Cricetulus griseus: one gene and its partners. The protein of the gene in region 1 purifies or fractionates together with the protein of each later gene. This does not show direct contact. Links are inferred from orthologs where the notes say so. Each region holds a gene or a part of one and is shown on either strand. Other genes may lie near its edges. The genes, in order: Yap1, Rpl14, Wwp1, Gsk3b, Amotl1, Amotl2 and Patj.

Region 1 (3,500 bases):
TTTTGTATTTGTTTCTTTGAGATAGGATTTCTGGGTGTTACAACCCTGGCTGTCCTGGAACTAGCTCTGTAGATCAGGCTGACCTCAAACTCAGAGATCCTTCTGTCTCTGTTGGGATTAAAAGCATGCACCACCATTGCCAGGCTCCCTAAACCAATTTTACAAGTGTGTTGCAAGCTGGCATGATGGCTCCATCTTGTAAATCTTACCACTTTGAAGGCTGAGGTAGGAGGATCACTGATGTGGGCTACAAAGAGATCCTGACTCAAAACAGAAGAGGAAAAAAAAGGGGAGGAGGAAGGAAAAATTTGTTGCTTAAAAGCATTATGGGAGGAGGGAGTCTAGCCCAGAGAGTATTCTAATTTCTCTTAAAAAGCAAAATTAAAACAGCAGGGTAGGTTTTAAATATTAATTAAAATGGTTTGCAAATAAAAAACAGTTCTCAACACAGTGATTTGTGTATCATCCACTTGAAGTCCAGACCCCAAGGACTGTGAACTCACTTATTACGAGGTGCCTGTAAGCTGTATTGCTTAAAATAATGCCACCAAAGTTTATGGTTTTGGGTGGGACACAGCCTTGTATATTTTACCTCCTTACATGAGAGCCTTAAAGAGTATGAGATGAGGCTTTACATGAATAGCTAGCCATGTGGAAAGTTCCAGCTCAGGGGATAAGATGCTGTCCATGCCTTTCATGGGGAAGGCACTCACGTGTTTCTTGAAGACTGCCATTTTAAGCAATGTTAGCATAGAGTGTAGGCAGATGCAAGCATGTTGGGGCTTTGACCCACATCCCTTCCACAAGCCTGAACAGTTCGTCTTCTTGTCCAGGATTCGGCCCCTTCAACCCTCAGCTCTGACTGCACTTGGCATTTGTGGAGATGGCTGACAGCTATGGGTTATGGCTCACATAGACGTTCAAAACAGCCAGACAAGCACAAAACAGAGCAATGACGCCAGCGACAATCCTCCAGGTCCTGGCCAGCATTCTTACTAACCTGTTAAGAAAGGGATCTGAACTATTGGTTGTCATTGTCCTCAATTCCTGAGACATCCCGGGGGAAGACACAGCATTCTGAGTTCCTCCGTCCTGCTCCAGTGTGGGCAACTGGCTTCGGAGAGCTAATTCCTTAAACAAATAAACAAATGTAGAGAGGATCAGTCTGCTGATTAACAAATTTATTGTTAGATTAAAAGAGATAAAGTGTCACAATGAAAAGGGGGGTGTAGTGTATTACAATATTAATGTTTTCCTTAAAGCTAACATGTTTCTTAATCAGAATAACCAAATTCTTCTATATACTTCAAATGACTAGAAAGAAACTAAGCTGCAGACATGTCAGTTTGCCTACTTGTACTAATCCCCAAACATGCATAATTAACATTAACATTTCATTTCTCTTTATTGGAAAAGACCCCCAAACCCTTCCTGGCTTTAGACAATTCTTCTTAGATTTTGTCATTACTTACCAGCTCTCAATGGTTTGGGCCAGCAGTAAAAACAGAACAGAAAGAACATTTGATGACTTGTTGCCAGACACAACCCTCCCCTCAGCCCCAGCAGTGTTTATACCCTGCCATCAAGCCTCCTTGACTTCAGGGACCCCCTCCCCCAAGCTGGACAGAGCCGTGTCCTCTCCTCTGGGGAGACATGTTTACAGGGCTCCAACAGTACTCAGGAGAATCCCACCTGGGCATCTGGCCAGGAGATGTTTCAGAGTTTTCGGCCAGGGTCTCTCACTGACGCCGTCACTACTCTGCCCCTATGTCTCCTGTGCAACCACCACCCTTGCTTGAGCACAGGCTCCCTCTGCCTACTTGTTAGCTGACTTGCAATATGGCCTTCTCTGGGCATCACAAAGGACACTGCCAGGCCCCTCTGCAATTGCCTTTAAGGCACACCCTTCCTCCAGCTCCTCCCACCCACGTCATCCCTGCAGTGTCCAGGGCCAGAAAAACCGTTCTCTCCACAGCCACTTCCACGATTTCTCCTCTCTGTAAACCCACTTTTTTTTTTTTTTTTTTAATCCAGGCTTATTTATACCCTCTGTTCATTTCCTTGTTTAAACTGGAGCTCCATAACTAGAGGTGCCTGAAGATTCAGGTTTTTGAACTTGTGTGACAACGTGGAAGGGAAAGATTACCTTAAATTTTTGGCAAATATGAATGCAAATTTTACATTTTCTTTAATTATGAATGGACAATAACAGTATTCATTGTGGGTCTGATTTTTCATCAGTATTTCCATAACTCAGACATTTCCATAATATATTATTACTTCATAAGTACTATTTATATTCATTATTACAGATCCTTTATATATTATGACAAGCTATGCAATAAATTCTCCTTTACTATTGATAAGCATTATTAATAAAACCTCCATTCCTTAGCCACCAAGGAAATGCAGATCAAAACTAGTTCAAAGCTGGGTAGCATAGGCTTTTAATCCCAGCACTTGGGAGGCAGAGGCAGGCAGATCTCAGTGAGTTCAAGACTACCCTGGTCTACAGAGCTAGTTCCAGGACAGCCAGGGCTGTTACACAGAGAAACCCTGTCTTGAAAAACTAAAAGGGAAAACAAAACAACCCACAACTCGTTCAAATGACTATCAAGAAAACAAACATGCTGAGGTAGGGAAGAAAGGAAACCTTACATGATGCTGGAGGGTATGTAAATTAGTACAGCCACAATGGAAATCAGCACAACATAGACATTAAAAACAGAAGGACCATCAGACCAGCTGCATCACCCTGGGGAAACAGAGGGATTGAATTCCTAGAGACACTTGCACATCTATGTTTATGCTGGGTTATTCACAACAGCAGAGGCAGAAGTGGAGACCCAGTAAGCCAGATGTGTAGGTAGATAAAGAAAACGTGATATATACGCACAATGGCTTTTATTCAGCCACGAAGGAAACACATGAAAATGGAGGTCAATATAGTGAAACAAGCAAAAAAAGAACTGAAAAAAACAAAAACAAAACAAAAGAAACCCACAAACCAGGTATCATATGGTTTCTCCCGTTGTGAAATATGAGGAAAGCACATAACATACACATATGAAAGTCATAATGAAGCCCGCTGTTTGATATGCTAGCCATTTGGTGGGAAGTGACTGTAATGATGGGTGCCCCCCCACTCTTGGATGACCTCTTCTCCCACTACACTTCATACTCCAGACTCTTCCTACTCTGGTCGCCTGGCTTCTTCTGTCCTTCTTATAAGCTGGAATCCATGACTAGTTAATGAAATATACACAAGGACCTTTCAGGTTCTGACATACAGTTTTTCCACCCAGCAAATTTCAACTTGGAGCTGGGTGTCTGGAGCTCAAATGATCCCATCTTTTAAGCTGAAATTGCTGCAAGGTGGCAGGGGCAGGGAAGGGGGGGACACACAAGTGTCCATATTGGAATCGTTACAAGCGAAAGGTCTTCAGTTGTGTCTGGGCCCTGTACCTGTGTGTGTGTTTGTGTCTGTCTTTCTTACGCAG
Region 2 (4,298 bases), about 110 Mb from region 1:
TTTGAAACGATCAAAATCTGTCATCTTGGCTTTCTGTTAAAAGAAAACAAAATGATCTCTCCTGTTGTTTGTCAGCACACACCCCCTCCCCACCCTCCAGAGCTCAAGGCTTCACGCCATTACCCTTTCTCGGGCATCAATCTTCTTGGCCCATCTTGTGGCCGACCATTTCGTATTGATATCTGCTTTCTCCCAAGCTTTCCGTACATATTTCTGGCGGGCACTATGTACATGAAGAGCAAGACCGTGGATTAATGAATCAGCTTCAGTTGTCTTCATAAAACATAGGCTAGACAATGCCCCCCCCCAGGGAATTCCAAAGACTGGAAAAATCACCTGTCTGAACACACATACTACTTACATAGTGCATGTGCATAAAACCATGTCCTTTTGTAATTAATAAAAGCCACTCCTTACACCAGTGTATACTTTGTTCATTAACTTGGCCAAGTTTCTTACCCACCCAAAACTTCCTTACTGCTTGCTATGAACCCTCAATACTCACCTGTAATCACTCCGTAACTACTGCCACCCCTGAACCACACTGTCTCTCAAAACATGCTGGCTGCCTCAGCACACCCAACATTGCTGACTTGACAACCACACTGCAAGGCAGGGCAGGCGTTCTAATTTGCATTTGTTCTGTGGCTTTACTTCCATAAGCTGGAAACAGGCTTTTTTATGTTGAATACTTTGTAACCACAACCATAGTCGCTTTAAAGGAAGGCATGGTAACTCCTTAAAACACACTAACTCCATCACCAAGGTAGGCCAAGACAAGAAGGAACCTATCTCAACACCAAAAGCACACAACTTAGAAACAAACCACCACAGGCCATCCTGGCCACTGCTCCATGGTGCTTGCCAACACAATGAAGCCACAAGCACAATTCTGCTCTAGCAACAACGGTAGCAACGCACCAAAGCCACTCTGGGAACGAGCCGAGTTTCTCATTGAAAACAAAACAGAGGAGCTAGGGGGTGGTGGTCGTGCCTTTTAGTTCCAGCACTCAGGAGTCAGAGGCCAGCCAGGTCTACAAAGCTATACAGAGAAACCCTGTCTCGAAAAAACAGTGGTAAGGGAAAGAGACCAAATATGGACAACTTTCATGACGGTAAAATGACTGGGCGACCCTAACTAATTAAGGTCCGTTTGCTGACATTCTGGGTTGGCTCTGAACCCTCTGTATTGGCAGAATATTCTAAAGGGGAAAAGCAGACAGTGGCACCAAATTGGAAGGCAGCTAACAGGGAGTGAGTTACCTGTGTGGGAACTTGAGGATGAAGTCAGTAAGCTGCATGCACTTAAAAGGCATGGCCTGTCTCCTCACCCGAGTGCAAGGTCCATCGACTAAAGCCTAGAATACAAAAACGGGGATCTCAGATGGGAACCTGGTCAAGATGCCCGAAAACAATAAAATCTCTTGACCTTTCCAAGACTGGGTATCCATGACTATTCAAATAAAGCCAACAGCGTCCTGTGAGCTCCATGGCCCAAGTCGGGGGCAAACTCCTAGTTCTCCTACCTCCTCGTCCCAGAGAGCTGATGACAGGCGTCACCACACCCAACTTCAGGGTCTTGAGCAAAATCTACCTCCAGCTGCTCTGAATTCCTTTTATCGTTACCTTTTTTGAACTCCCCTGCATTTTTGACCCCAACTGAAACATCTGCCTAGTGTACTTCCTGAGGGAATCTATGAAGAGCGAACTCTCCTCTGCACTTCAGACTCCGTGTCTAGCGTTCCCTCCAAGGGAAAGCTGTAACCTACAGAACCCCACCCGAGGGCCATCTACGGTGTCGTCAAAACTCACAGCCACGTTAAATGAGAGGCTGTGGGCCGCTTCCTCTTATACGTACTCTGTTCTGATCGATTACATCTACAATCGCGACCAGCTTGCCAGCATGAGGCCCAAAGGAGACGTAGGCCACCCGGCCAACCTCCACGAAGCGCCTGAACACCTGAAACAGATAAGGAAACGGGGGTTGGTCTTTTCTTTTTTTTTTTTTCCTTGATTTTCCGAGACAGGGTTTCTCTGTGGTTTAGGAGGCTGTCCTGGAACTCGCTCTGTAGACCGGGCTAGCCTCGAACTCACAGAGATCCGCCTGCCTCTGCCTCCGAGTGCTGGGATTAAAGGTGTGCGCCACCACTGCCCGACTTCAGGGGGTTGGCTTTAACTGTTCCAAGTCCGCTGCTTACCGGCTGTAACACAAGGGCTCAGAGCCGCTCACGGGCCGGATGTGCCGTTGGAAACCGGCGCTCTGCTTGGCTTAAAATGTCCCGCGGCCGCTGTCCCGGGGTGGCCGGGTCCCGGGGTTTGCTCTTACCCATCCTCCAAACCCTCCCGATCGGCTCGGACCCCCTCCCGGCGTAGGAAAGGACGACTGGAGGGGCCCGCGAGCTCGCCCACCCGCCTGCTCGCCAGCAGCAGCGCCGCCACCGCGCTCCCCGCCAGTGCGCACGCGTGGCCCAGGCTCGCCCGGCCGGGCCTCCACGCAACCGGGAGCCGCGCTCCCCCGGGGCTGGATTTTCCACGCTCCGCCGCCTGCCCCCGCGCGGCCCGGGTCGCGCAGAGTCACCCCACGCCGGGGCTGGCCCGCCCGGGGCGGAGGGCGAGCGCCCCGACCGCCGCGCTCTCGGAGCCCTGGGCAAGACACACTCACCATGTCGGCGGCGCTCAGCGAGAAGGAAGAAGGCCCGCCCGGCCGTGCGCATGTGCCGGCGGAAGCTCCGCCCCGACGTCCAGCGTGCCCGCCGATTGGTCGAACGCGGCCGTGCGTGCGTTGGCGCGTGCTCGGTGGCTGAAGTCATGGCGGCGGGGCCTCCTCCGGGCGGCGTCTTCTCGGACACGTGCTGGAAGAAGTTGGCGTCCTCGTTTCTCCGCTGCTGTTGCTGGGGTTTGGGTAGCGACAAGGTGTTCGTCCAAGCCCGGCCTCCCGGACGCTGGCACGACCGGACGGGGACGGGAAACCCGAGTCCCCTGCCAGCCGGGAACACGCAGCGAGACCCCGTTCCCCGGTCTTAGCACGTCACGCTTCCCCCACAGATCCTGGGCTGGATCGTTTGGGAAGAAATCTCCCATTCTTTCATGCATCCATTCTTTCATGCATTCGTTCATGCTCGTGTGCGGGCCTGTGTGCAGTGGCCGCGTCGGTCCTTCCTCATTCTTTTGTTGTTTTGGTTAGGATTTCTTGTTTTTGAAACAGGGTCTCTCTATGTAACCCTGGCTGTCCTAGAACTAGGTAGACCAGGCTGGCCTCCTCCCAAGTGCTGGGATTAAAGGCGTGGCCCACCATGCCCAACCCTTTTTATTTTCTGCCAGCACAAGACTGGGCACTATGGAGACCCAGAAGCAAGAGAATGGATAACTTTTGGTGGCTTGCAACAACAAAGTCTCTGAGACTTTGGAATAGTTTGGGTGAAATTCACACAACCCTGAGTGTAGTAAACAGATACAAAAAAAAGTATATATATATATATATATATATATATATATATTGTATTTTTTTATTTTACATAAAATTCACAACCAGCAAACCCCTTAATGTCAGAGAAGTATAGATTGTAGCTCTGAGAGGTGTCTCAGTGGATAAAGCACTTAGCGACGGGTCAGAAGTTCAACTCTCTTAACACCCACATGAATGTACAATGGGTGTAGTGGCCTGCCTTGCAATCCCAGCCCTCAGGAGTCTGAGGCAGTCGGGTCCCAGGGGCTCACTGAACAAAGAACCTGGCCTACTTTGGTGACCTCCAGGTCCCACAGTAGACCTTGTCTCAAAAACAAAGTTGGAAAGCAATGACGATGCCTGAAGTTAGCTACTGGCTTTACAGCGGTGCAGGCACAGCTGAACGTGCGGGTGCACACGTGGGAACAGGCAAAGCAAAACAACAAAAACTAGAACCCATCTTCCTTTTCCTTGGCGCACACCACAGTTGCTGGAGGGGCAGCAAGCTTTCTGAGTTCTGGTCATGCTGTCCCTTCATCCCGCCAGTATGATACAAGAGTGTTTACTTTTTGCAGACAAAGATCTCCCTGTCGCAGCTGTGCCCTTTTTTCCCCTAAGTGTGTATTAACTTAAAAAAAAATTAAAGACAAAGAAAACCCCTTTTTCTTGATGAGAGTTCCCTGGCTCTAACATAACCAGAGAATTGAACCCAGGTCAGGGAGGGAGGACTGAGATGGTTTAACATCCAGTGGTCTAGTGAGTACACTTTGGGGAAGTCCTCTGGTTTACAGGACTTTGCCATGACGATGCAGCCAGATTATGTCACCAGCTGCCATCCGGCAGTGTTGTCTTT
Region 3 (4,082 bases), on another chromosome or scaffold:
TTTAGTTTCAAATAGGATTATTAATCCCCAAAGGAGTCTGAACCTTATGCACCAGTACTAAGGATAACACATCTGTGCTACCACTTATCTCTCTAAAGACCTGAATCAGAACCTTCATTTTAACTGTCTTAAAAAGTTACTTTAGCTGAGCGTATTGGTGCACACCTTTAATGCCAGCACTCAGGAAGCAGAGGCAGGCAGATCTCTGTGAGTTCAGTGACAGCCTTGTCTACAGGAGTGAGTTCCAGGACAGCCAGAGCTACATAGCAAAACTCTGCCTTTTGTGTAGGGAAGAAGATGCTGTGCTTTTGTCACTGTGTAGGTATGAAGATTGGAGAACAACTTTTGGGAGTAGATTGCCTTACTATTACCCAAATTAGGTCATCAGGCTTGACAGAAAGTCCTTTACCCACTGAGTCATGTTGCCAATTATTTAACTGTCTTCATTCACCTGATCACCAAATTCTATCCTCCTTTCTCTGTCCTTTCCATGTGTTCAGACCCTTGCTACCCATGACGATGGAAATCTTGAGGTTTATGAATCTTCAGGTTCTTCCTCCCTCAATTCATACTACACAATTAATTCTTCTAAAGAAGGTTTAAATTGTTTCACTCCCCACCCCAAAATCATGTGGACTCCTGACTGCCTACTAACCTAGTCATTAGTCTGACATTAACCATACTCTTAAGTTCAAAGTGGTGGCACACCCCTTTCCAGGGCTCTGAAAGCAGAGGGAGTTGGATCTCTATGAGTTCAAGACCAACCTGGTCTACACAGCAAGCAAGTTCCAGGCCAGTCATGGCTACATAGCAAAGCCTTGTCAAAAAACAAACAAACAAAGAAACAACTAGAGAAAACAAAAAATAAGTTTTGTTACTGGTCTAGGTTTTTTATTTCAAGCTTTCTTACCCTATATCCTAAGTAAAGATCATTTAGGTTTCATCCAAATCCTCTTAGATCCTTCTTGAATTACCGTTCCCTGTTTATGAAAAATCAAGTCACCCTTCAACCCAGCAACTTCAAAACGAGAAGCCCCTAACTCATTTCTGAACTTGAATTGAGAGAATGTTTATATTTATGAAACACACACAGACACACACAGACAGACAGACAGATAGACACACACACACACATACAAACACACACACACACACACACACACACACACACACACACACACAAAAGTATTCTGGGCATGGGGGCATAGGCCTGTGAGCTCAGGTCTGAGGCAGAAAGATGGCAAGTTCAAGGCCAAATCCGGCTACATAATGAGATCCTGCCATTTCACACATACATAAAAGGAGCATTTGTGTGTAAATATAACATGCATACCTTCCTTCCCTAGGCTGTAAAGACAGAAGCTGCTAATCATTACATCCATATATACCCCAAAATAACCTCACACTGTCACACAGTTAATGCTTAATAACTGTGCAAGGATGTAAAAGAAATTTCAGGCAACTGAGGAGATTACATCTCTTTGAAGGCAAGAGACCTGACCAGCCATATCCTGGGTTTCAAAAGCACAGTGTCTTAAAAGCAGCTTTATATGTTATGTGAAGAACTATTTGAAAATGTTAATAATCTATGTCTCAAAGAACTAAGCCACATTCTTTACACATCTCAATTTCAACAGCTCCCAACACCTGGCACTATACTTTGAATTTTAAATGTTAACTAGTTATTAAAAAGTGGTAATTTTCAGTCAAAGTATATTGCTTCATGGCTAAAGCAAGCCAGATAAATCAAAGAATGTCTTTTTTAAAAAGGTGAGTGTTACTAACAGTTACAAACACTTGACATGGTGAGACATGTCAAGTGGATTTGTACACAAGCATAAACGTACAGAATCCTACAGACAACTGTGAAAGGGGTATTTCATGAGAAAACAGAAACAAAAACAACAACAAAAAAAACACCATATTTTTTGCAGCATTTTAAGAATAGAAATTCAATCTTACTACACACAAAAAGATAAAAATCTAATAGAAAAAAACCCGGACAGCTATGAATTATTTCATTGTGGAAGAGTAAAATATTTCAAAACTGTAATAGATACACCTTCCTTTTGGTAATAAAGGTTTCTTATGACCGCTTAAAGCAGAGGAACTTCAACTCCAAACCGATGAGTAAAGGGAAGGGACACACAGTCTTTAAGCACACAAAACTGATCATTTAAAGACTGAAAGGGCGATGGGCAAAGTACCAATCCTAACAAACACTTCAATTTTAAAAGAAGATTTAAAGAAAAGGGCCGAAATCACAAGATGAGGATTAGAAAAATTTTGCAAGGTCACTTGAACCTACCAGGTCACCAAAGGTAGCAACTGGGGGTGCTGGTGGGACGAGATGCGGAGTCAGAGAGAAAGCCTGAATGCTAAAAACATGTCAGAATAGGATGTTCTGAGGCTGGCGTCCCGGCTCGCGCCGGTGGGATCCGGGTGAAAGTCAGGGCAGCAGTTCTGAGGCAGGGAAGCAGGAACGCCAGCGAGCCGCCGGCTAGGCGGCTGAGCACTGCAGTCACCGAGACACTTCGCCTGGCTCCGGTGTCACCCGCACAGGCCGGTGCCAGGGCCAGCCCGGGGCAAGCCCGGCGACCCCACCCCAGCGAACTCCGGCCCGGCCGCCCTCCAGGCTCCCTCCTGCGTCCCACCGTGCTTACCCGCGCGAAGCTGTGGCTCCCGGGGCCCGCGGCCACCGCGGCGGCGCCTCCTCAGCCCTCCGCGCCCAAGATCGCCATCTCGCAGCAGGCGTCGGCCGGGCAGCCCAGGCCGCCCGCAGCCACCCGGATCCCGCACGCCAAGCGCGCCGACACCCGGCCCTCCCCCCACCCCACCCCGGCCCACACCTCCCTTTCTCGGGAACGCGCAGCGTAGTCGCGACGCCGGTGCCGCGCACAGGCGCGCCTCCCCGCCGGGGCCGCTCCGAGCCTCTAGTCCAGACTCGGAATCCAGCTGCCCTCGGGCATGCGCAGCGAGCGCCCGCCGAGCCCTCCTGAGGACTAGTCCGCTCCTCCGGGTCTTCGCGACGGTCGAGCGGAGACTCAAGCCAACCAATAAGAGGGAAGGGGCGGGTCCCGAGCCGGAAAGGGGGCGGGGCGGCCCCCCGGGAAGCCGGTGGTGGCTTTGGAAGCTGGAAGCTTACAGCTTACCTGGCCTGTTCAGTCAGCTGCAGAGCCTCGTGCACAACCTCAGGGAAGATCCTGCGGTCACTCATGTGCTTACTCCGGCACTTCACAGCTAAAGTAGGATGTGAGTGAACACTCCTTGACCTCGCTTAACATTTGATTTAGGGTCCATTAGCAAATGGTTGAAAAGACTTGCATTTGTGCTGGAAATCAAATTGTTCCCTTCCCCCTTGGCAGCATGCTGGCCCAGTAACAAAGCTGCTGATGATTGAGCCAAGTCAAGTATCCGTGTCCCTGTAGCTAATCCGCACAGCAATCCTGAAAGGTAGCTTCTCTTGACTCCATTACACAATGAGTCAACTGGTTAGAAAAAGCTCTGTTGGTAATTTACGTTGCTCTTGCGAGAAAGGTCACACTGCAGATGCAAGTCAGTGCTGACTACTTACCATATGGCCTACTAGTCTACTTCAGAAAGAGATCAGAGTTCTTCAGCATTGTACAGTTAGCCAAACAACTCACCTAGGCCCTACAAATTACTTACACCCACCCCGAGCTTACTAATTCACTTGTTTTAAAGATTCAGAAATCCTGGCTTCGCCTCAAAGACCTCTCCACTGTTGTCTGTGATACTTTAGAATACCTTCAAATGCCCCAGAGGTAACAACTTCTCAACATAATCACCTTTTAAGACTTCTGCCCCAAATTTTTTGTGGACCTTAAACCACCTTTCTGATTCACTCTTGGTTGTCGTTGTACTTGTACGTTTTGAGAGAACAGAATATCAAGAACACTAAGAATTCATGAGTATTTGTAGGACTCAGTGAATACCTTTTGAATGAACAAATGTACATTGGCTTCTACTCCGGTACATTAGTTACTGCCCCCAACCTCACATAGAAGTTCAGTGCATCTGCACATGATGCACAAAAATTACTCAAAAATGTACATGGCAAT
Region 4 (3,500 bases), about 70 Mb from region 1:
AAATTTGTATTTTATTTTGATTACATAGTATTGGTTATATCCAAATATGGCAATAATTTAGTCAGAATCAGTGATGGTTTCATTCCAAGTAATGTTAATTAAAAAAAAATCTATTCATATGTTTGAACCCTTTTTATTTTTTAACAAATAAGTATTTTTATAAGTATTCACCTTTTACAAATCTATTTTGTGTATGTGTGTGTGGGGGAAAGAATTGCAGAGAAAGAGAGAGAGAGACAGACAGACTCATTATGTAGCCCTAGGTTGGTTAGAATTCACAAGAGATCTGTCCACCTCTTCCTGTGTGCGGGACTGTATCAATCTTACACAGCCTTAGGAAGCAAGGTCAGGGCTGGAGAGATGGCTCATCCATTAAGAGCACTTGCTACTCTTGCAGAGAACCTAGTCAGGGCTGGAGAGATGGCTCATCCATTAAGAGCACTTGCTACTCTTGCAGAGAACCTAGTTAGATTCCCAACATCCACATGATGGCTCACAGCCATCCATAACTCCAGTTCTCAGAGATTCAACATCCTCTTTTGACCTCCACAGGCACTGAGTATTCAAGTGGTATGCATACATAAATGCAGGCATATGTGTTTATATATGTGGTATACATGCAGGCAAAACACTTATACACATAAATTTTTAAAAATTTAAGAAGCAAGAATCTTAGATCTGAAAATGGATCAAATCCATGTTTGTTAGGGTCCCAAAAGCCCTGGCTCACACAAACATTCTATAATGTGTCAGGAATTTGGTTGTAACTATTTTAGGTGAGCCTAGTATAATTCAGTCCAGTATCTTATACATACATACATACATACATACATACGCACGCACGCACGCACGCACGCACGCACGCACACACACACACACACACAGAGAGAGAGAGAGAGAGAGAGAGAGAGAGCATAGATAACCAATATCAAACATTTGACTAAGACACTAATCATTAGATATCCGATAACATTCCCAAGGACAAAGAGTTAAAATTTGCTCTTGGGGACCACTGAGCTAATAAATATACTAAGAAAGTCTGTTACCTTCCATTCTTATACTGGCTCATTAACATTTTATTTTACTCCTCCAGCAACCATGAAAAGCAGGCAGAATTAGAAATGATCTTCATTTCACAGCTCAGATAGAGGACACCTGATGTCAGCCTCAGCTCCCCACCCTCACACAATTAATGTATGAAATAAAATAATTTTGTCCTTTTTCATCTAGCCTATCAATGCTGGTTTTGTCTTGCCATTCAGATTCAGCGAGTCATGGTCTTTGTGCTGACACAGCAACTGTACTAGAACAACACAAAGGCAATGAGGATTTCAACTGTCTTGAATCCTTCTATCATTAGACATCTCCCTCCACTGAAATTTTTAAACCAGCAAGTTTAGCTGAACAACTAATGAATTAAGTTAACCTAAAGTGATGTATTATGGTAGGAATTCAAAAATATTATTGCCCTATCAATTACAGTATTAACATTTTAAAAGTAACATTATTAATTAACCAATATTCTAACTAGGTATCAGGCTCAGAAGTAAATATTTCAGGAGAACTAGAAAACTAATACAGGACCCACAGATAGCTCAGTAGATAAAAATTCTTGCAGTGCAAGCCTGATGACCTGAGTTTGATCCAGAGAACCTATATAAGGGTAAAAGGAGGGAACAGACCCCAAAAATTGTCCTCTGACGGCTACATGCAAGCTGCATATAGCATATTTCTTCCTGTCATTGATCCCTGCCTCATTAATATTTTTAAAACACTTACCTGAAGAGTTACAGTATTTACACTTTACTTCAAACTTTAAGATCAAACAAATACATTAGCTAACTATAATGCAAATACTTTTAAAATTCTAATGCTAAAAAAGCATAATGGAAAGATATACATAAAATTCTAAAAGGTTAAAAAAATTTAGTTGTATACATTTCTGCAAAAATATATTGCAGCCATGCCCTTTTCATGTCAGAGAAACTGTAAGAATCAGGGTGCAATTAACAGTTATAAACTGTATTCAGAGTCAGTACTTACCTATGCTAGAGGTATAATCAGTGGCTCCAAAGATCAACTCTGGTGCCCTATAGTACCGAGAACAGATATAGGAAACATTGGGTTCTCCTCGGACCAGCTGCTTTGCACTAATGAAAAAAATAAAAATAAAAAAAAGCAATCTTTAAATCCATACCTTAAAGAAACAAATACTCATATTCACACACCATATTTGTCTCAACCTCACAAGACTGCAATAATGCAACACACTTGCAACTGTTTTCAATGAAAGAAATACACAATTTCATCAAATTGATATAAGAAACAGTGATTTTTAAAGTAAGCATTTGTCAAGTGTTACCTAAGGAACAAAGAGATTAAAAGTTCAAAAGGATACACATGTTCAGTTTCTTCTGGTTCCATGTTTCCTAAATTCTACTTCTGAAATGTAAAAATGGTTGCAAGGCATGGCGATGCAACACCTTTAATCCCAACCCTCAGGAGACAGAGATAGTTGAGTCTCTGTGAGATGGAGGCCAACCCAGTTTGCAGTGAGACTTATAAGGTCAGCCAGGGCTACACAGGAAGACCCTGTCCCAAAAAATAGTAAATAATTAAATATATAAAGATAAGGGGCAAGAAATTTAAAAGGAGCCTTCCCCAGCAAAAGAATGACAGTGGATCAGAATAAATGAATATATCAATACTCCTCACCAACACACTTTTTTAAAAAGGGTAATAACTGCCGACTGTTTTATATTTGACTTCTGACTCAGGATGGCCAGCTCAAGGCTTACACAACCAACCTATGCATGATTTGATATTTTAGTCAGTTTGCTATCTAACCACCTGTTTCTAAACAAACTGCAAAAAGGCATTCAACTTGAGGGGGAAAGTGACTCAGAACCTATCCATTCCATCCCTGCTATGCTGTTTACATATTATTGCAGCTTTGCTCCTGAAGTATTTTACAGTATATACACTTAAAACATTAAAGTGAATTACAGTTAGCATCTCTCAAATGTCTCTCAGATAACTCATTTCAAATCAGCAAGCCACACTGGGAGATGCACTGACAGCAGCGTCACAGACACAGGAGATAAATACAGGCAACAAAATCACAACAGAAAACATCTGAGGTAAGGAAGGGCACAGGAAGGCAAAGACACAGCCAGGGGAAAATGACCTTTCAACCTTAAAGTCTAGGCTTCCTTCCCCTCAATTTACTTTTAGTCAATGATGATGCTAAACTTAACTTGTTTTCCCTTCATTAGCAGTTTCACAATTTAACCTTCTAGGGCCCACATTAATGGTTATTAAACAACCATAATATTTTCAGGCTATCAGAAAATCAAGACACTTAGCTTTCAGTATAACTAATAATGGACTTTTCTATCTTCAGAAGTGCATTTTGGGGGCTTGGGATATAGCTCCTTGATAAAGCAGCTGCCTAGGATGTGACATTTAAAGTTCAGCTCCCAGACAAACAAACAAACAGC
Region 5 (3,500 bases), about 5.7 Mb from region 1:
GATGGCACAGAAATACTATATTATGCCAAGATAGGTTTTGAGGATTTCTAGCAGATTCTTCTTAAACCAAACCTGCTAAGAGGCAAAGGGAATGGGGTGATTCCAAGGAAGGCCCAGCTCTTCTTCATCTGTTTATAAACCAAGAATAGGGGAAGTATGGGGCCTCCCCAGACATACTATTTCTCTACAATGGACAATCCCTCCTATTCTCAACTCTGCTTCCAAGTCTGTATACATCTTCTCTCCCTCCCTCTGCAGTCCTGTGAGCCGGCTGTTTTGGTAACATTATGAAGCGTCCACACCTGCTCTGGCTTTGTAGTTGCTACCATCTAGACCTTCTTCCAACCCCTTTTCTTGTCAGCATGTTGGTGTGAAAATCCACAGGACGAGGCTAGATGAGCACTTCCATCATCTCCCCATCCGGGAACTCGGGCTTGTGCAACAAGCTGCTCACGCGGCTTCTGTGGTCTGCCGACTTCCCATGACCAGGAGAGTTCTCTGCCAAACAGAGGGCAAACATCAGCAACCTTGTGCCTGGGTTTTCCATGCACTCTCTATCATAGAAGCATTTTTAATGTCCTGGCCTGCCCAAGAGTCTCATGCATCTTGGTGTGCTCATGGGAGCCTGAGAATATCGCAGTGGGAGATGTAGAGGGACTGGTGGGTGGCTCTCAGAGAAGACAGTGTCTTAGGGTTCTAGACTGAGTAAAAATTAAAAAAGGAGAAAGCTGACAAAGACCCAAATTCCTGTCTCCTGTCTGCCTAGATGTGAATGAGCAGGCTCACACTTCACAGTCCTACCATGCTGTATCTACCATGATGGACTGTCCCCTCAAACCATGAGCCCACAGTAAATCCCTCCTCAGTTACTTCTACCAAGTGTTTGTTCTACCTCCCCCTAGGGAAGGGTAGAACACACATGTCACCAAGTCACTCGGGCTGGGTGCTCCCCTTCTTCAATAATGAATTAAGCTTATCTGGCCACACTTTAGTCCCATGGCAACAAAGAGCACCCCCAGTCTGAAAGTAACTGTGATGATCACTACTGAAACACAGGAACAGACTGGGCTTCCTGATCTCTCTACAGCTCTGCACTAGATTCCCCGCCTCAAGTCACACAGTCTCATGGGGTCTCCAAGCATGGTAGACGTAGGGGCCACATACCCAGTTTCTCCATGGTCCCTTTGGCAGCTGGATGTTTCAGAATGGGGCTGTTGGATGGGGCAGTGCTCAGCCTGCCTCTGCTGGAGAGGGAAGCCATGCTGGGCCAGAAGAGCTCAGTGCTCTTGTCCGTCTGTGTGCTGCTGTCCTTGCTGCCTGTCTTGGCATGGGTGCTGCTGGCCAACGTGGTGGAAGCAGGAGGGGACAGTGCAGAGGCAGGTGTGGTTGGCAGCAGAGGGGCAGATGCCTGTCCCTGATGCTCCTTCCCCAGCAGGAACCCTGAAGGGAAAAAGAAGTGGCTTTTCAAGGAAACTTATCTTTTTCTTTCTGGACTGGAGATGACTTCATTTATTCGATGATTTATTCACTAAACCCTAAATAAGCACTTGGGTGCATGCCTGATGAAGTGAGAAACAGTCCTACATTATGTCCTGAGTCCCATGCAATTAAATTCTTTACAGACTTGGTATTTGTATTCTAAATTCAAACAACTGAAAACCACAGTTGGACTGTTGGGGTAGTTCAGAAGGTAAAAAGACCCTTGCCAACCCGAATGCCATCTCATCACTGCCCAGACTCAGACACAGTGATCTGCAGTTGAGATGAATAAATCTCTCTCCTGGGAGCTGCTCAACATTAGGAAGGTGGATACTGCTATCTCCATCACCTCTTCAAGTCCGTCATGCACAAGATGGAAAAACCTGAGGTCCTGTGTAGGAGCCTGTGAAGTTAAACTCCACCCAAACCTCGGAGCTTCCCCCCAACCCCTGTTTCTGTGACTGACATGTGGGCACTAATTACACTGACAAGGAGGTACACTGGTGCACACAACATGGCCAGTCTTCCTTAGGCCAGGGTGTCCAACTCTCAGGCCTTATGCTGACCTGGTAACATTGAGACATAAGCCCAGGCACCGACAATGTGTACCTGGGTGAATGCCACACAGATTTCTCTTAGGGACGTCTCCATAAGAACTGAACAATTTCAGACTCCTGAGACAGACCCACTTCTTTTTTTTTTTTTTTTTTTTTTTTTATTAGTTCTAGTTAGGGAACAAGCTTATTTCAAGTCCCTTCTCCCTCTCCCTCCCCTCACCCCCAAACTTTCTCCCCCACCCCCAGCCCATCCCCCCAACCCCATCCACCCACTACTCCCCAGGCAGGGTAGGGCCCTCAACGGGAGCTCAGCAAAGTCCACCAAGTCTTCCTATGCTGATCCTGGGCCCTTCCCCATGTGTCCAGGGCCAGAGTGTAACCCTTCATATGGGATGGGCTCTCAAAGTCCCTTCTTGCACCAGGGAAAAATACTAATCCACTACCAGAGGCTCCCTGGAGTGCAGAGGCCTCCTTATTGACATCCATGTTCTGGGGGACAGACCCACTTCTTACTGGGTTAGGAGCTAAGTGTCCCTGGGATGGCCTTTATCATAATTGCTGTCCCCATGAATCCTCTAGGATGAGCTGAGGTTATAGAGGCCACCTGTAGAGGAACTTCAAACAGACGTGCTGTTTGAGGCTTTGACCCCCCCCCCCCGCCGCCCCAGCCCTGTGGATTCATATGGAAGCTCTCATACACTGCAGGACAAATCAGCACATGAGAAAACTGACTCTTGGCAGAGCAGAGAAATGATGTGCCGAGCCAGAGACAGATGTCAAAGAAAGGCCAGCCTCCTGGAGTCACAGCAAGCAGAGGAAGGGAGAGAAGACTTGGAAGCTTCCTCTCCAAGCTCACTGGCCCAGCCTGTCTACCCTAGGGTACCACTCAGCTAAGACGCACTCCTGGATAATTCTCAACATCCTGCCTATAAAATACAGGAAGGCTCCTGTCCCTGATGGAGATTCTCTGGGCACACTTTCCCCATTATTTGCTTGAGCTTTTTAACGTCCCACAGGTGTAGACACACTGTGGAGCAGTTGCAGACATGGCCCACAATGGAGTGGTATTCTGAGGGTGTGGTAGTTTGAATGTATTTGGTCCTCATAATCTCAGGGAATGGCACTATTAGGAGATGTGGCTTTGTTGGAATGGGTGTGGCCTTGTTGAAGGAAGTGTGTCCCTGTGGGGTGGGCTTTGAGATTTCTTATACTCAGGAATCTGCTCAGTGCCTCAGTCAACTTCCTATTGCCTGCAAGATGTAGCCCTCTCAGGTCCAGCCCATCTGCCTGCATGCCACCATGCATGCTGATAATGGACTGAACCTGAAACTGTAAGTGAGCCACCCTTATAAGAACTGCCTTGGTCAGTCATGCTGTCTCTTCACAGCAATAGAAACCTAACTAAGACAGAGGGGCTCTAGGTTTGTCCTCCTAAGACATTTCATGTTCTTCCTGTCAATAATA
Region 6 (3,198 bases), about 89 Mb from region 1:
TCGGGGACATTGTCTTCTATATCCTGTTGTATCCATCACCCTCCTTTCTTTCCTACAGACCGTGTACCGGCAGAGGAGCCCCCGGCCACAGCTCCTCTCCCTACCCACACCAAGCACGGGAGCAGAGATGGAAGCACTCAGACTGATGGCCCTGCAGACAGCACCTCTGCCTGCTTAGCCTCAGAACCCGAGAGCCTCCTGGGGTGTAGCAGCCAAAGGACAGCCTCTCTGGGTAAGCACCCTGCCCCCACTTCCCCTGACCCGTATATTAGATGGGGGCTGAACTGGAACACGTGTTTTCTCCAAACTCATCCTCCATGGGAAGCCCCATGGTATGAACCAAGGGTTGTTGGAGGCATGAAACCCTCAATGGGAGGCAGACCTATAGTTGAGAAAGAAAGCGCCTCATCAGAAGGCACTGTGCCTCCTCCAGAGTTTTCCTCACATATCCTGCTGGTCCAGATTTCTAAGATCATGGAGCTTGACAAGTGACCCTGATGGTGATCTTGAGTTGGGAAGCTATTGGAAGAGCCCAGAAAAGAGGAACTTGAGAAGAAGCCTTTTTTCCTTCTAGTCTGATCTCACATTTACCCTTGCATAGCTGCCTGTGTGCGCCTCATGATCTCAGAAAACCACAGGCATGACAAGAATGCTACAGCCTGCTTCTAACCCTGGGGGCACCCCTCCACTGATCACTCTAGCCAGTTCAGAGTCTAAACACAGGCATACTTCCTGAGCCATCTAGGCCCCAGCCGACGGGAGGGAGCAGAGCATTGGGCTTAGTTGACCAAGTTAAGAGGAATCTGAGGACTGGGACAGATTAGGGGAGGGAATCTGATGAAGAAAGATCCTTTCTTACTTAAAATGTGTTGAGCTGAATAGAACAAGTGGATAACACTCACAGCATAGACCTGTTGTCTTGTCTTTCTCCAGACTCTGTGGCTACTACCAGAGTCCAGGACCTGTCAGACATGGTGGAAATACTGATCTGAAGGAAAGAGGTGGTGCCTTGGGGACCCTGACGCCTGGCTTCCCCCTGGCATTCCAGCGGTCGTCAAATGCTGCGCCTCACTTTCTCCAACCATTGATAGTGTGGTGCATGAAGCTCAGAGAGGAACCCTAGAGGGGACCTAGAAAAGTCTGCAGCCCCAGAAGACTGCTTCTTGGCCCATATTCCTCCCATGCTCATGAGGAGGGAAGAGCCAGATTTCCCCTGCTGCCCAAGGTCTGTTGCTGGAGGAGAAAGGAGCTGAGCCCCCTCTGTCCTGCCCATTTGTATTCAGGCATGAAGGGAAAGGGAAGTGGATTCTGATTCCCAAGGATGGCTGAGCACCGATCTGGTGGTCTGCTGGAATAACCAGGCCAGCCATGGTGTTCTGTGGTTAATCGAGGCCCCAGCCAATCCCATCTGCTCTTCACTTCCTCACTGCCTTCTTCAGATCACTAAGACTGGGACTATTGGGAGTGTGAGTCTTTTGGGAACCACCAGCATGCCTCTCACTTGGAGAAGGTTAGAGGCCATTTGAGAGGCCTGCGGAACAGTGTGTTTTGTATATAATTCTCCTTCCTTGGGAACAGAAGACTAAGCATGCTGGTTCAGAGTCTCCTTCCAGGGCTGTGCTGCCTGCCCCCGCTGCCACGGTTCTTGAAACATCTGATGGGTCCACCAGATGTTCTTCCGCCTCCAGTACTTGGCTATGGAATTTGATACTGGTTGCCCTTTCTCCATTTTAAACCCCTGTGTTCAGTGCCCATGGGACTCTTGTCACCAGCCTTTCTGAATGGCTCCACAGCTCCTGTCCCTGGGACATCCTGTCCGTTTGGTTATAAACTGAGCCAGATGCAATGAGCCGCCACATGTGGACATCTTTCATGCCCAGCACCAGGTTCTCTTTGAAGAAACTGGAGAGGTTGTTCTCATAAGTGTGTTAGTTCCCACCGGCAGGGACTGGGAGAGGAAGCTATGCTGTTGAAAAATGGATCAGTGAGCTTAAAAAGACAAAAGTCCTCACTGTGGTGCCCCGTCACAAAAACGGCACCCACGAGGCTGGCTCCTCAATTTCTGGTGCCCCAGCCCTGAAGCAGGGCCAACTACTTGGAATTGGGTGAAGTATCCCCAACTGGCAGCCTACCAGCAGCAGTGACTTTGACTTTGGTCTTAAAGTAACCCCCATTCAGCTCAAAAAGCGATTGGTGGGTTTCAGAGCTTTTGTGTTTTCTCCTTGAATCTTTGGTTGTTTTGTTTGTTTTTCTTTCACTGTTTTCAAGTTCTGTTTGTTGTTTTATTCCCATGGTTCTCTGAGTTTCCTTTTTAAACATTTGCATTTGCTGGGCAATTGCATATTTTTTTAATTCCCCTACCCCTGTGTAAAGCTAAAAAAATACATCTGGTTCATGTGCATTGTTTACAAAGATAAAAGTAAAAAAAAAAAAAGGAGGGAAAAAAGGCAAAAAAAAATTGTGAAAGAAAAAAAAAACAACTTAATATATTTTGGATTAATATTTGGTATTTCTTTAAAGTATTTTTTGTTGCTGTGAACATTTTCTGCCAAAGACCATGACGTGTGTCTGTGTGTTTAAGTTATCATGAATATTTAAAGTGTAAACATGGCTGTTTTGTTACGCCACCCTGTACCAGGATTGCTGTTGCATTCCACTGGGTATGACAGTATTTTAATAAAAAAAACTTACAAGGAGAGATGTTTATATATTTATTCATTTGTTTATTGGTTGAGACACTGTATGGATCTGAGTCTAAGTTTGCCTCAAACTAGAAATTCTCCTGCCTTGGCCTCCCTACTGGTGTCTTTACAGGTGTGTGTGACCCACAGCTACAAGACTGGTTATTTGCAAGGATAAGGAAAGGAAAGAAGATGAATGTTTTAAAGGGTCACCCATGTCCACTCTCTTCAAGGATATTTTGTGAAGTGGCCTGAAGGACACTTGAAATGGCATAGCTGTCCCCATTTCCACACATGTGCACTTTCACAGACACCATCTATGAGAAGGGTAGACAGGGTGGGGCAGCTGGCTGCCTTTCCAGGTAACTGTCCTAACCAATTTTGATTTTGGTTGTTGTAGTAGGAGTGTTGAAACATTACCTACTCTGTCCTCTCACTAGCACACAACCTCTTTGCTAAAGGATCCAGGTGCCATGTGAACCCTGTGATTGGACACATGAAGTGTGTATTCCAGAGT
Region 7 (3,500 bases), on another chromosome or scaffold:
AGAGCCCCACTCATAAGGGTATTATAATTTAATAGAAAACATAAGCATAAATAACCAAAATACACAGATCATACCACACTAACTCAAAAAGGACAAGAAACGTTTCCCAATCTGTGCCCACAACCTAGCACAGGGTGCACAGGGAGCCAATGAATATACATTTGCTGAAAGACTAGCACAATGTTACAAAGATTTCAGGGAGCTGGGGCAAGGGAAGGCTCATAGAAAGTAAATACCAATGAAGAATCATGCATTTTTAATTGACATCTGTTTTTCTTTTTAAACTTTTTTGAAAAAGTGTCTACAATGACTTTATAAAATCAATAATCTAGTAATAAACTTCCACTATAATTCACAAATATGAGATACTTAAAATAAATATTCACATCTTCCTTAAGACAGTCAAAAGTAAGCTTCTAATAAAAACCTGAGTCTCATAGATACAGTGGCACACAGCCATAATTCTAGCACTCAGGAGGCTGAAGGCTGAACCAAGGGAATTGTAAATTCAAAGCCATCCTGGGCTACATAGCAGGTTTCCCTCTCCCCCTACACACACATTAATTCACTATGACATCAAAGATCACAAGACATCTTATCACCAAATAAGTTAAAAATAATATTTAATTTGGTCTTTATATTAAATAATAATCTTAATAAAGTAACCAACCAGATATTAAAAAGACAAAAATAAATCAAATTCCTCTGCCGGGTGGTGGTGGCACATGCCCTTAATACCAGCACTTGGGAGGCAGAGGCAGGCAGATCTCTGTGAGTTCGAGACCAGCCTGATCTACAAGAGCTAGTTCCAGGACAGCCTCCAGAGCTACAGAGAAACCCTGTCTCAAAAAAACAAAAAACAAAAAACAAAACAAAACAAAAAGAAAAGAAAAACTATCCAGTAAACATCTCATAATGTTGCCATAAAGAGATATGATCACCTTTCTTGACCTAGAATAATGGAAAGGACTTCCAAAGACTACCAACTAATCTTTTTTGGTGTTTGATTGTTTGTTTGTTTGTTTGTTTGAGACAGGATTTCTCTGTATAACAGCCCTGGCTGTCCTAGAACTCAATCTGTAGACTAGGCTGGCCTTGAACTCACAGACATTCATCTGTCTCTTCCTCCCAGTACTGAGATTAAAGGTGTGTGCCACCATCACCCGGCCCAACTATTCTTATAGTGAATAACATAATTTAGAATGAATATGTTCCCAAGTTTATAACCTACCGTTTCAAGCAAAGAGGTATCAGCTGAGCTGGTAGAAGTACGGCCCTGTGTGTGGCCCACTTCCCTGGCCACAACCAGACGAAGAGACCCAGTGGCTTGTTGTAGTAATGCAATCGCCTGCTGATGGGAAATATTCTGATCCAATGGGGTGTCATTAATGGCCAAAATCTGGTCATTTTCCTTCAATCTTTGATCCCTGGTCATACAAGAAAAGCAGACTGTATTTTAGGTACTGACAACCTGAACATGCACACAGAGCTGGCTCTGGCATTGTTCTACGAATCAGGAACTCCATTAGTACCATATGCTTCTTACACCATCTTATCTCATGTTAATACTGTTGTTTTACACAACACTGAAACTTGAAAAATTAAATCACTTGAGCAAGACTGCACAGGTGGAGAGAAAGAGCAACATCCAGCCTCAAACTACAATACTTCCTTAACTAATGAACCTGTAAAAATAGACTCTGCCCCAGGTAACATGTCTCAGAGGGGCTGATATGACTTTTGTTACATGTATTCAATTTCGGTTTCACATGAGGAAACATTTTAGATGACAAGATGTCAACAGGGTATTTAGAAAGTTTTCTGCTATGGTTTCAATGTCCATGCCTCTGAACTCCTGTGGAAATTTTAATTTCTACTGTAAAGTATCAAGACATGAGACTTCTAAGGGATGATCAGGGACTATCCACTCATGTACAAGACTGGTGTATACACAAAAGTTAAGTTTAGTTCCTTATTGCCCTGCTTCCTATTGCCTTCCACCACGTGATGAAACAGCAAGAAGCCCAAGCCAGTCGTAAAACCCTAACATGAAATTCTCAGTTCCAGAGCAGTAAGCCAATAAATCTCTGTTCATCACAAGTTCTAAAACCTCAGGCATTCTGTTATACCAAAATGAACTTAGACTGAATCTCACAATCATCTTTTAAAGGAACTGAGAAGTAAATGCTGAATTTAGGGACACATCTGTGCACTGACAGAGGCTCGCTGACAACACAGTAGAAGGTCAAGCTGCAAGGAAGACTCACTCTCATATCATAGAGAAGAGCATCATGAATCATACCATCAAATACAGAGTCAGGAAGAATAACCAATATATTATACCAGCACTTCCCACAATGTCCAGAACTTTACAGATAGATGCTGTTTTAAAAAAGCAAGTTGTTGCCAGAAGATGAAAGAAGAAGTTGGGAGTGACTAACAACATATACAACAGGGTGGGAGCTCCTTTTCTAGTTGATGAAATTTCTAGAATTTTTACTATTTCTAGAATATGGAAATGATCGTAAAACACTGAGTATTATATTAAACATCACTTCAAAATGGTAAGGTTTATACTACTCATACTATAACTCAGTACATCTATTATTTTAAACTTTGAGTTAAAGAGACTAGAAATAATCATCTATAATCAGAGAAAATGAATGTGAAAAACTTATTGACAGAATTTTGTAATCAGACCCTGCCACTACTGCTATCTTCTACCAGGAACATCTGAAACCAAAGACTAGAAATCACAGAGACAAAGACCTTGTACAGAACTCTCCAAACATAACAGTAGGTACATGTGGAGATGGCGGGGTTAAGGAACCTCTAGAGTGCTAACCAGCACTAGGTCCTATTGTTACTATTGTTATTGTTAGTTTCTTACTCTCTTTATAACAACATTTTCAGAGCTGTCAGAAAAACATGAACCAAGTACAAAATGAACTTTCTCACCTGTCTGCTACACTCCCTGGATGGACTTCCTTCACAAAGATGTCAATTAATCCCAGGCTTTGGCTTCTCAGGGCCACCACACTGAACCCAAGGCCTCCAGTAGAAGGACGTTCTATATCTATATATTCAACATGCCGGCCCTAATGAAGGGGGGAGTCAGAAAGAAAAAGAAACATGGTGTACATTTAAATATCACCTTTCCACAGAACCAAACCTGCTCAGCACACAGCAACCTCTCCGAGGTTATCGCTGTCAGTCTAAGCATGCTCAGTGTTCTGGTAATATGCTGGTTCTAGAAACCTTTTACAGAAACAGCATTGAGAAGCATTTTACAACTCATCCACATTTACGAGACAGATTCTGGGCTGGACAAAAGCTGAAAACAAACACCCTTCCCTACAGTAAACTCTCAATTACTTTGTACATAAATTTCTTTAAATTCTCTTGATGCAAAACACTTTTTAAAAGGGAAAGTAAATCAGTTATGCCAGAAGCATGCTTATGTTCAGCCCAGTTCAACCAGCAGCATTTATATTAGTTTT

What was found.
Region 2: the proteins of Yap1 (region 1) and Rpl14 purify together in Homo sapiens (affinity purification with mass spectrometry, with the first as the bait; 3 studies listed by BioGRID). This does not show direct contact. The link is inferred for Cricetulus griseus from reciprocal best matches to the Homo sapiens genes YAP1 and RPL14.
Region 3: the proteins of Yap1 (region 1) and Wwp1 purify together in Homo sapiens (affinity purification with mass spectrometry; 3 studies listed by BioGRID, with this or other methods). This does not show direct contact. The link is inferred for Cricetulus griseus from reciprocal best matches to the Homo sapiens genes YAP1 and WWP1.
Region 4: the proteins of Yap1 (region 1) and Gsk3b purify together in Homo sapiens (affinity purification with western blotting; 3 studies listed by BioGRID and IntAct, with this or other methods). This does not show direct contact. The link is inferred for Cricetulus griseus from reciprocal best matches to the Homo sapiens genes YAP1 and GSK3B.
Region 5: the proteins of Yap1 (region 1) and Amotl1 purify together in Homo sapiens (affinity purification with mass spectrometry; 8 studies listed by BioGRID and IntAct, with this or other methods). This does not show direct contact. The link is inferred for Cricetulus griseus from reciprocal best matches to the Homo sapiens genes YAP1 and AMOTL1.
Region 6: the proteins of Yap1 (region 1) and Amotl2 purify together in Homo sapiens (affinity purification with mass spectrometry; 10 studies listed by BioGRID and IntAct, with this or other methods). This does not show direct contact. The link is inferred for Cricetulus griseus from reciprocal best matches to the Homo sapiens genes YAP1 and AMOTL2.
Region 7: the proteins of Yap1 (region 1) and Patj purify together in Homo sapiens (affinity purification with mass spectrometry; 7 studies listed by BioGRID and IntAct, with this or other methods). This does not show direct contact. The link is inferred for Cricetulus griseus from reciprocal best matches to the Homo sapiens genes YAP1 and PATJ.

What each region holds. Positions count from the first base shown.
Region 1 is NC_048597.1:122,312,175-122,315,674, forward strand, and holds part of Yap1 (transcriptional coactivator YAP1), read right to left. Parts: intron 1,132-3,500; coding exon 1,001-1,131; intron 1-1,000. UniProt on the Homo sapiens protein: Transcriptional regulator with dual roles as a coactivator and corepressor. Critical downstream regulatory target in the Hippo signaling pathway, crucial for organ size control and tumor suppression by restricting proliferation and promoting apoptosis.
Region 2 is NC_048597.1:227,644,496-227,648,793, reverse strand, and holds the start of Rpl14 (60S ribosomal protein L14), read right to left. Parts: upstream 2,801-4,298; 5' UTR 2,666-2,800; coding exon 2,663-2,665; intron 1,961-2,662; coding exon 1,859-1,960; intron 1,359-1,858; coding exon 1,264-1,358; intron 224-1,263; coding exon 124-223; intron 34-123; coding exon 1-33.
Region 3 is NC_048595.1:132,994,643-132,998,724, forward strand, and holds the start of Wwp1 (NEDD4-like E3 ubiquitin-protein ligase WWP1), read right to left. Parts: upstream 2,801-4,082; 5' UTR 2,664-2,800; intron 1-2,663. UniProt on the Homo sapiens protein: E3 ubiquitin-protein ligase which accepts ubiquitin from an E2 ubiquitin-conjugating enzyme in the form of a thioester and then directly transfers the ubiquitin to targeted substrates.
Region 4 is NC_048597.1:51,920,621-51,924,120, forward strand, and holds part of Gsk3b (glycogen synthase kinase-3 beta), read right to left. Parts: intron 2,151-3,500; coding exon 2,044-2,150; intron 1-2,043. UniProt on the Homo sapiens protein: Constitutively active protein kinase that acts as a negative regulator in the hormonal control of glucose homeostasis, Wnt signaling and regulation of transcription factors and microtubules, by phosphorylating and inactivating glycogen synthase (GYS1 or GYS2), EIF2B, CTNNB1/beta-catenin, APC, AXIN1, DPYSL2/CRMP2, JUN, NFATC1/NFATC, MAPT/TAU and MACF1.
Region 5 is NC_048597.1:128,045,216-128,048,715, forward strand, and holds part of Amotl1 (angiomotin-like protein 1), read right to left. Parts: intron 1,441-3,500; coding exon 1,165-1,440; intron 499-1,164; coding exon 392-498; 3' UTR 1-391. UniProt on the Homo sapiens protein: Inhibits the Wnt/beta-catenin signaling pathway, probably by recruiting CTNNB1 to recycling endosomes and hence preventing its translocation to the nucleus.
Region 6 is NC_048597.1:210,972,776-210,975,973, forward strand, and holds the end of Amotl2 (angiomotin-like protein 2), read left to right. Parts: intron 1-58; coding exon 59-232; intron 233-933; coding exon 934-992; 3' UTR 993-2,698; downstream 2,699-3,198. UniProt on the Homo sapiens protein: Regulates the translocation of phosphorylated SRC to peripheral cell-matrix adhesion sites. Required for proper architecture of actin filaments.
Region 7 is NC_048595.1:51,075,105-51,078,604, forward strand, and holds part of Patj (inaD-like protein), read right to left. Parts: intron 3,138-3,500; exon of another isoform or gene 3,133-3,137; intron 3,099-3,132; coding exon 2,959-3,098; intron 1,428-2,958; coding exon 1,232-1,427; intron 1-1,231.